Linked DNA regions of Canis lupus familiaris. The protein of the gene in region 1 binds, or shares a complex with, the protein of each later gene. Links are inferred from orthologs where the notes say so. Each region holds a gene or a part of one and is shown in the gene's direction. Other genes may lie near its edges.

The links. Proteins that work in one complex are often made in the same cells at the same time.
Region 2: STRIP2 (region 1) and STK24 share a complex: the UniProt entries of both Homo sapiens proteins name them as parts of the core of STRIPAK complex. The link is inferred for Canis lupus familiaris from reciprocal best matches to the Homo sapiens genes STRIP2 and STK24.

Annotation. Positions count from the first base shown.
Region 1 is NC_049235.1:7,184,121-7,187,767, reverse strand, and holds part of STRIP2 (striatin-interacting protein 2), read left to right. Parts: intron 1-893; coding exon 894-1,028; intron 1,029-2,410; coding exon 2,411-2,531; intron 2,532-3,257; coding exon 3,258-3,326; intron 3,327-3,508; coding exon 3,509-3,615; intron 3,616-3,647. UniProt on the Homo sapiens protein: Plays a role in the regulation of cell morphology and cytoskeletal organization. Required in the control of cell shape. Calmodulin-binding scaffolding protein which is the center of the striatin-interacting phosphatase and kinase (STRIPAK) complexes.
Region 2 is NC_049243.1:48,811,481-48,815,227, reverse strand, and holds the start of STK24 (serine/threonine-protein kinase 24), read left to right. Parts: upstream 1-1,252; 5' UTR 1,253-1,267; coding exon 1,268-1,345; intron 1,346-2,825; coding exon 2,826-3,056; intron 3,057-3,747. UniProt on the Homo sapiens protein: Serine/threonine-protein kinase that acts on both serine and threonine residues and promotes apoptosis in response to stress stimuli and caspase activation.

The DNA of each region.
Region 1 (3,647 bases):
CTCTCTGTAACCACTTCTCTATCCCTCCCTGTATATGGGACACAGAGTTTCCTACATCTCAAGTGGAGAGGCCATGGAATGGAAGCAGGAGAAGCCTGAGCTGGGTCCTTTTCATTGATATAAAGGGCCTAGAGAGAAGAGGGATGAGGACTGGGCTGGTGCCCTGCTGTCTGGTTGAACCCTGTACCTAGTGTAGTCCTTGACTTTTAACATTCAATCCCTGCCTCCAACTCTGTGTCACTCCTAATAGCATCTAATAATATTTCATGTGCCCACACTGATCCTCTCAGACCTCCACTTCCTTACTTGGTCAGTGAATTCAGTTTGCAACTCAACAGATGTGTGGTGAGTACTATTTTGTGCTCAAAATAGTGAAAGTGAGTTTGCAGTATCTTCAAAGAGATTATAGTCCAGTGGCAGAGGGGAGGTGTGTACATCACAAAACTGACGCCAAGAGGAAAGTGGTAAGTATCATAAGAGAAGTAAAAGGTATCTTTGGGGGTTTGGAGGCAGAGGAGTATCTTGGGGGACAGAGCTTCTGGCTGGAGCATTAGTGGGAAAGAGGTAATTTAGTATAGGACCTGTAATGATAAATAGGAATTAGATATGTAGGGAGAGAGGGAACCCCTTGAAAAGGCAGAGAGAGAAGCCAGAATAGGCTCTGTGTAGAGAACAAGGGAATATGGAAGAAGAGGCTTCATTTAGAGTGGGTTCAGCCAGAACTTTGGGGGTCCTTTACTTTTCTAATCTCTTATTCCTTCTCATCTAAATAAGGAAAGCTTTTGAAGAGAAGAATTTGGAGGCTGGGATTAGAAGTAGACATGTTACCAGGAGCCTTTCCAGGAAGGGGAGGCAGAAGCTGACCCTGGATCTGTATGGCCTTCTGTCTCCAGTGCAAGGCAAGGAGTGGCTGGAGTTGGAGGAAGATGCCCAGAAGGCCTATGTGATGGGACTCCTGGACCGACTGGAGGTGGTCAGTAGGGAACGGCGACTGAAGGTGGCCCGGGCTGTTCTATACCTGGCCCAAGGCAAGTGTCCACCTTTGCCAGCTTCAGATGGGTAAACACTGGGGAAAGAAATATTGCCATAAAAAAATAATAATAATAAAGAAAAAAAAAGAAATATTGCCATCAGGACTAGGATGAGGCAAGCCATGCTAAGAAAGCAAGGTCCCTACCTCTCAAGGACAGATCTTATCAAGTGCTAGAAGTAACCTGATGCTTATAAGCAAGTTAAGGAGATAGTGGTGGGTACTATTCTGGATCCCTTGGAATTGGCTTTTATCTTACCAGGCATGGCAAGATTTCTTATAAGGTACTTTTTTCCTTCATGTGGGCTATAATCATATGTGGAGAATACTTAGCAAGAGAGTCTGTGTGGCTAGAGTTGATGATATACCACCAGCTGAGCATGAAGGCTTCTTTCCTCAGCTATGGCACTGACTTCTACTAAGAGGAGACAGTGGGGTCCTGCAGATTCACACATGGACCCTCTGTATTATTTCTCTTTGGCATTTAGAGGGTTCAAGCCAGCATAGCAGCAGGAGTGGATGCAGTGGGTAATTGGGAGATGATCAGAATTCAATGAGATTAATTAAGGAAGCCTTCCCAGAAGAGACCTATTAACCATTTGTTGGAAAGAGAAATGAGATAACCTAACTGGAATAGTAAAAATAGGCCCTGAGGTCATAACAAGAGGACTTTTGGCAGAACTAACTAGCTGGGAGCAGTTTTATAAGAAAACAATAAATGGACAAGAAAGAGAGTGGTGAAAAGACAATAGCAAACGAGGCAGTGCCCTAACTGCATCTCTTGGGTCTAGTGTTCGGCCAACTTCCAACTGCTAGTACCTTTAACTTTTTACCTGAAGGCTTTCTCTGCAGTCCATATAGGGTAGCCAGGAAGTGCTAGGAAATTAATGTGCTCCCCTAGTGCAGTAGCACTGATCAATGAATGACAGGAGTTATTGGATAAATAGCCCAACTATTTCACTCTTGGGTGGGATGATTCTGAGGGTTGAAAAACCTACTGTTTCCCAGAGCTTCCTCCATCCTGGATTTCAGCTCTTGGCTGCCTTTTCTTCCCTAGCTTAACTTCCCCACTTCTCTACTAATGGTTCCTGGGATCATCTTCCAAATAAACTACTTATATTTGAATCCTCTCTGGATCTGCTTTTCAGGGAACTCAAACTTAAGACAGGCCAGTGATAAGCACATTGGACCTGACTCTGGAGACTATTTCTCCTCTTTCCTGCCTCATTCAAGGAAGTTCTGGGGGCCCTTGTCCTACCTTTGTCAGCCTAATTGTTGGTCAGGGTGTTGGAAAATAGTCTTAAGATCATGGGGCAGAGTGGAAAGAACTGGATACCCCTCTTACCCTCAACCCCACATGGCAACTGTCTGGTTCTTTAGGTACTTTTGGGGAATGTGATTCGGAGGTTGATGTGCTACACTGGTCCAGATACAACTGCTTCCTGCTCTATCAGATGGGGACCTTCTCTACCTTCTTGGAGCTACTCCACATGGAAATTGAGTGAGAAGCCTTAGGGGAGGGCTGGCCTAGATAAACCCCTTCCTTGAAGGGTGTTTCATGTCCTATACTGATTCCCTCACTATAGAGACCTCTATGGGAGCAGTGTCTATTCACACCTCAGTCCAAAGCTTATTGATGGTTTCCCTTTATCCAGCCATCCTCTCTGATATTTTGTCCTCCCTGAGGTTGGGAGGACAACATCAACAGCTTCTGCCCCCACTTACAGCTTCAGTCCTGGGTCTTAGGGCCCTACCCTAGATGGGTTCCCTTTTTATCTAAACACCTCAATTCAGCCTAACTCTGGAATCCATGAAGGAAATTGTTTTACCTGGAAACATGACCCAAGAGGGACAGGATCAATTTCTGTTGCTGTACCCAATTCTTTCCCTCATAGGTCACAGCTCTAGAGGTGGCCTTATCTGTTGCTACCACTGTAGAGATCCCTCATTTTATCTCATGCCTATTATCCAGAAGTTCAAATAGGGCAGATTACAAGTGTTGCTTAGCATCTATTTTGTGTTCAGCATGGTACTAGGCACAGTGTGGATTATAAGAGGAGGCATCATCACAGACCCTGCCTTTGCCCTTCACCACAGATAAGGGTTAACAGAGATGGCAGAGGAATTCGGTGGGCTCCTTTACCTTAGACCAATTTCTTTTAGCTACATAGCCAGGGAATAGCAGAGGTTTTATAAGTTCCTATTCTCTCCCTCGTCCCCATGGCAGCAACAGCCAGGCCTGTAGCAGTGCTCTTCGGAAACCAGCCATCTCCATTGCTGATAGTACAGAGCTCAGGTAAGTGGAGCTGGCCCTGGGATTGGACAGGGGATAGTTAGCAGTGGGTTACCAGATACACCTGGACTGCTAATAGTTGCTAATTCCACTGGGTTGGGCTCCCACAGAGATCATCCCTGAGGTTTCTGGCTACAGGTTGGGAGCTGCTTTGGGAATCTCTTGTAACCCTTCCATAACTCCAGGGTGCTGCTGAGTGTCATGTACCTATTGGTGGAAAATATCCGCCTGGAGAGAGAGACGGACTCCTGCCGGTGGAGGACAGTGCGGGAGACCTTCCGCACTGAATTGAGTAAGAAGTGGCAACCTGAGGAAGGGTAGGGA
Region 2 (3,747 bases), on another chromosome or scaffold:
AACGGCCCTTCCTACTGCTTCCTTACACTTGCAAGCTGGAGATGGTACCATCCTCACTCCCCCTTTCCCGGGCTCTCTGTCCCTCTGATATTCTTCGTAATATGTAGTCTGGATGGTGTTTGTGTCAGTGTAAGGTTGGGGCTTTCTTACTGCTCAGGGACACTTATTGGCCATCGGTCATTGTGCTCAGGGACATGGGTATCGAAGTGAGTAAGACACAGTCCCCGAGTTCCCTCAGCTTTTAGTGAGTGAGATTGTGTGCTCTAGGAGAATGGCCAGTTCAGGGAAATGACAGATGCAGTTCATGTAGGTTGAGCTTGAGATGTCCACATAGAAATATATATTTAGCAAGTAATTGATCTTAGGAGTTAAAATTCAAAAAAAAAAAAAATAGAATTCAAAAAGCAGGGCTGGAGTTAGCAATTTGAAAGTTACCATGTACATGATGATTTAAAACCGTTTTTCCTCAAAGGTGGCTATTCATCAGAATCAATTGGAGTCTTTATTTTTAAAGATTTTATTTATTTAGTTAGAGTGAGAGAACACGAGCAGGGGGAGGGAGAAGCAGACTCCCCACTGAGCAAGGAGCCCAATGTGGGGCTCTGTCCCAGGACCCTGAGATCATGACCTGAGCCACCCAAGTGTCCCTATTTGGGGTGTCTAACAATATGGATTATGCACCCCTGCCCCATGTATGACAGAGAGTGATTTGGGATCTCCCACATGTTCCAGGTGATTCTGAGCAGCTAGGTTTGGGGAACACAATCCCAAACAATGAAAACTGTTTGAGGAGAATAAGTAGAGAATGGGTGGGCAGCCAGCATGGAGCCCCCAGGGGCATGCCTGTGATGCAGCCGCCAGGGTGGAGTCTGTGCAGGAAGATCCTCTGGGACTGGGGGGATGGGGAGTAGACAAGTGGGAGAGCAGGGTTTAGATGCCAGGACTGGAAAGTTACCAGAGGGAGGGCTTCTTGGAGGAGGATCAGATTAGGCACTGCAGTGGTGGCCTCAGCTGGAGCCAGACTGTGGCGGTGACCAGCGAGGGGCGGGGCGCCTGGCTGGTCTCGGTGACTTGCAGGGAACTCTCAAGGAAGGAAGGAGAGCGTGAAGGAGAGAGGTGACCAGGGAAGCCCAGTGTTTCTGTTTTTCTCAATGGGAGAAAACTGAGCAGGCTGCCAGGAGTGGTGGGTCTGTAGAGAGGGCTGAATGGAAGAGGCCTCTGGTGTAGGGGGCTGATGCTGCTGAAGCTGTATCCAGGGGACAGAAGGATGGATTCAAAAGCTCAGCGCTCAGGACTGGCCTTGAAGAAGAGGAGGGCCACCCCCCCTCATCCTGGAGGGATGGAGGTGAGGGAAGGGGTTTGGAGATGGGAGTTTCTAGCTGCTGAATGTGGACGTCTCTCTCGTGTCCCTTTTTCCTGGCAACCCCGGGATGCACTCCTTGCTTACTTTGTTCATTTTAAATGATGGGGTTAGTGTAGTCTCAAAAACAGGGCCTCTGGGGTCTGTGAGACCACCCATGACTTAGTGTGTGCGTGTGTTGCTGGGGTGTGCTACTTCCGTGGGGTTCACGCTGCAGCACAGCAGCACCTCCGCGTTGGCAGTGGGCGGGCTGGGTTTCAGCACTTCTCTGGAGGCACTGCTTGGAACTCCATGTGTTTCACCTTGAAAGCAAGTTAATGGCTCGTGCCTGGTTAGCCCCTAGGGCTCACCTAGCTAATGGTGCTGCTGACCTTGCTGTAATTCTCTCTCGATCCCCTCATCACTCCCCCTCCCAGAGACCCCCTCCCCCCACCATGCCTGTTATACTCTCTCCCTTTTCAGCCCTCCTCCTTCCCCATCTTCCTTCCTTCTCCATGTTTCAGTTTCTTAGAAGGACTGGTAGACATGGAGGGTGGGCCTGGCATCCTCTTGTTCATGAGCAGCATTTTTGAGGGGAGGTGTGTGAGGTGGTGGCTCCCAGGGTCCTGTCTTACTCTGTGAGGTTTCAAGTGGTGCCAGCAGTATTTGTGCCGAGCTAGGCAGTGTCCCCAAGTCTTCTTGCCGAATGTCAGTTTCGCCCCTCAGTTTGTGACTGACACCCCCCGGGGATGACAGGCTGCTGCCTGTTGAGAGAACTCAGCTGCTCACACACCTTTCTGGTCTGGGAGCTGTGAGGATGGGTGTTGGAGTCCCTATGTCTGGACCCCTTGGAGATGTACACTGTGTGTATGTGGTTCACCTAATTAGCTAGTGATTGAGAGCTTTCAGAAGCTTTTCCAAGGGCATGATGTTTACAAGACAAAAGAAAACGGGTTCTTATTGTTTCCCAGGATTGGGTTAAAATGTTGAGGGCAAGGTAGTAGCCAAAGGTGAAGATGCATAGGACTGCATTTGCTGGACTTTAAACATGGCCTGTTACGAAATGATTGAGTACTAGTTAACTAGTTACAGTATATGCCTACCTAAACTTAGAAAATTTGTCGGGGAGGGGGAACAAAGGGAGAGAGTGGAATATTTGCGTAACAAGAGTGTTTTTCAATAAATTCATATATCCTAACACTTTGTCTTGGTTTTTACTTAATTATGCAAATACTGGAGCCTTTCCCAGTTTTTATAATCAGGGTTATTGTCCTTGCTTGCATACTTGCTGTGTTTCATAGAGGTGAGGCTTAGAAATCCCTGTGTCCTAAGTGTGAGGAGCTGTGGTCACAACCAGCCTGACCCTCAGATGAAGAAAATGGATCGGTTCTTGGAAGACTGTGTTCTGTGTATTTTTAAGTATGCGGGAAAATCTGTCCCTGTCTTGTGAGTTACTGAGGTCTCTTCTTTTCCTTTTCTCCTACAGAACCTGAAAGCAGATCCAGAAGAGCTTTTTACAAAACTGGAGAAAATTGGAAAGGGCTCATTTGGTGAAGTGTTCAAGGGCATTGACCTTCGGACTCAGAAAGTGGTTGCCATAAAAATCATTGACCTGGAAGAAGCTGAAGATGAGATAGAGGACATTCAGCAAGAAATCACAGTGCTGAGTCAGTGTGACAGTCCCTACGTAACCAAATATTATGGCTCCTATCTGAAGGTAAGGCTTGATAGTAAGAATGTGGTTTTCCATGGTGTAGTACTTGACCGAGTCAGAGCAGGGCGTGGAGAGGATGTCAGTAGCACAGCAGGCTGTCGGAGGAGGGAGAAATGTTCCTTTGATTCCAAAGGCACCTGGCTCTGATAGTCTTATCTTCAATGTCACCTATAGAAATATCTTTTGGTTAAAATGTTTGTTGAAGTTCCTTTCCAAGAAAAAAGCACGTCTGATTGGAACTTGGTCATCAGAGACACATTTCTTATGAAGGTATTACAACAACAACTGTGGACTTACCTAACCTTAGCATGGTTTTTTGTAAAACCTTGTGCCGACCTGAGAATCTTAGCCTTTTGATATTTTCAGTTATCAAATGTAGTTTAATTTAATGTTAAAAAAAACCCTGCTGGAACTGATAATGGTGCTTAGTGAACTAGTTTATCTACATTTGACTTTGAAGAATTCTAGGTAAGTAAACAGTGACTCAACACCACAAATTGTCCTGGATTTCATCTGATTCTGTGAGTAGGATAAAAGAGCACAGCAAATGGTTTTCCAGTCCATAATGGGACCATTTTAGATGCTGTAGGGCACTCTAGTCACACCACTAAGAGAGCGGAAGTCTGTCCCTTGTGTTCATGTCCTTTGACATATGCCTGTTTTACTGACCTTAGCAATATAGTATCTTCCAAGG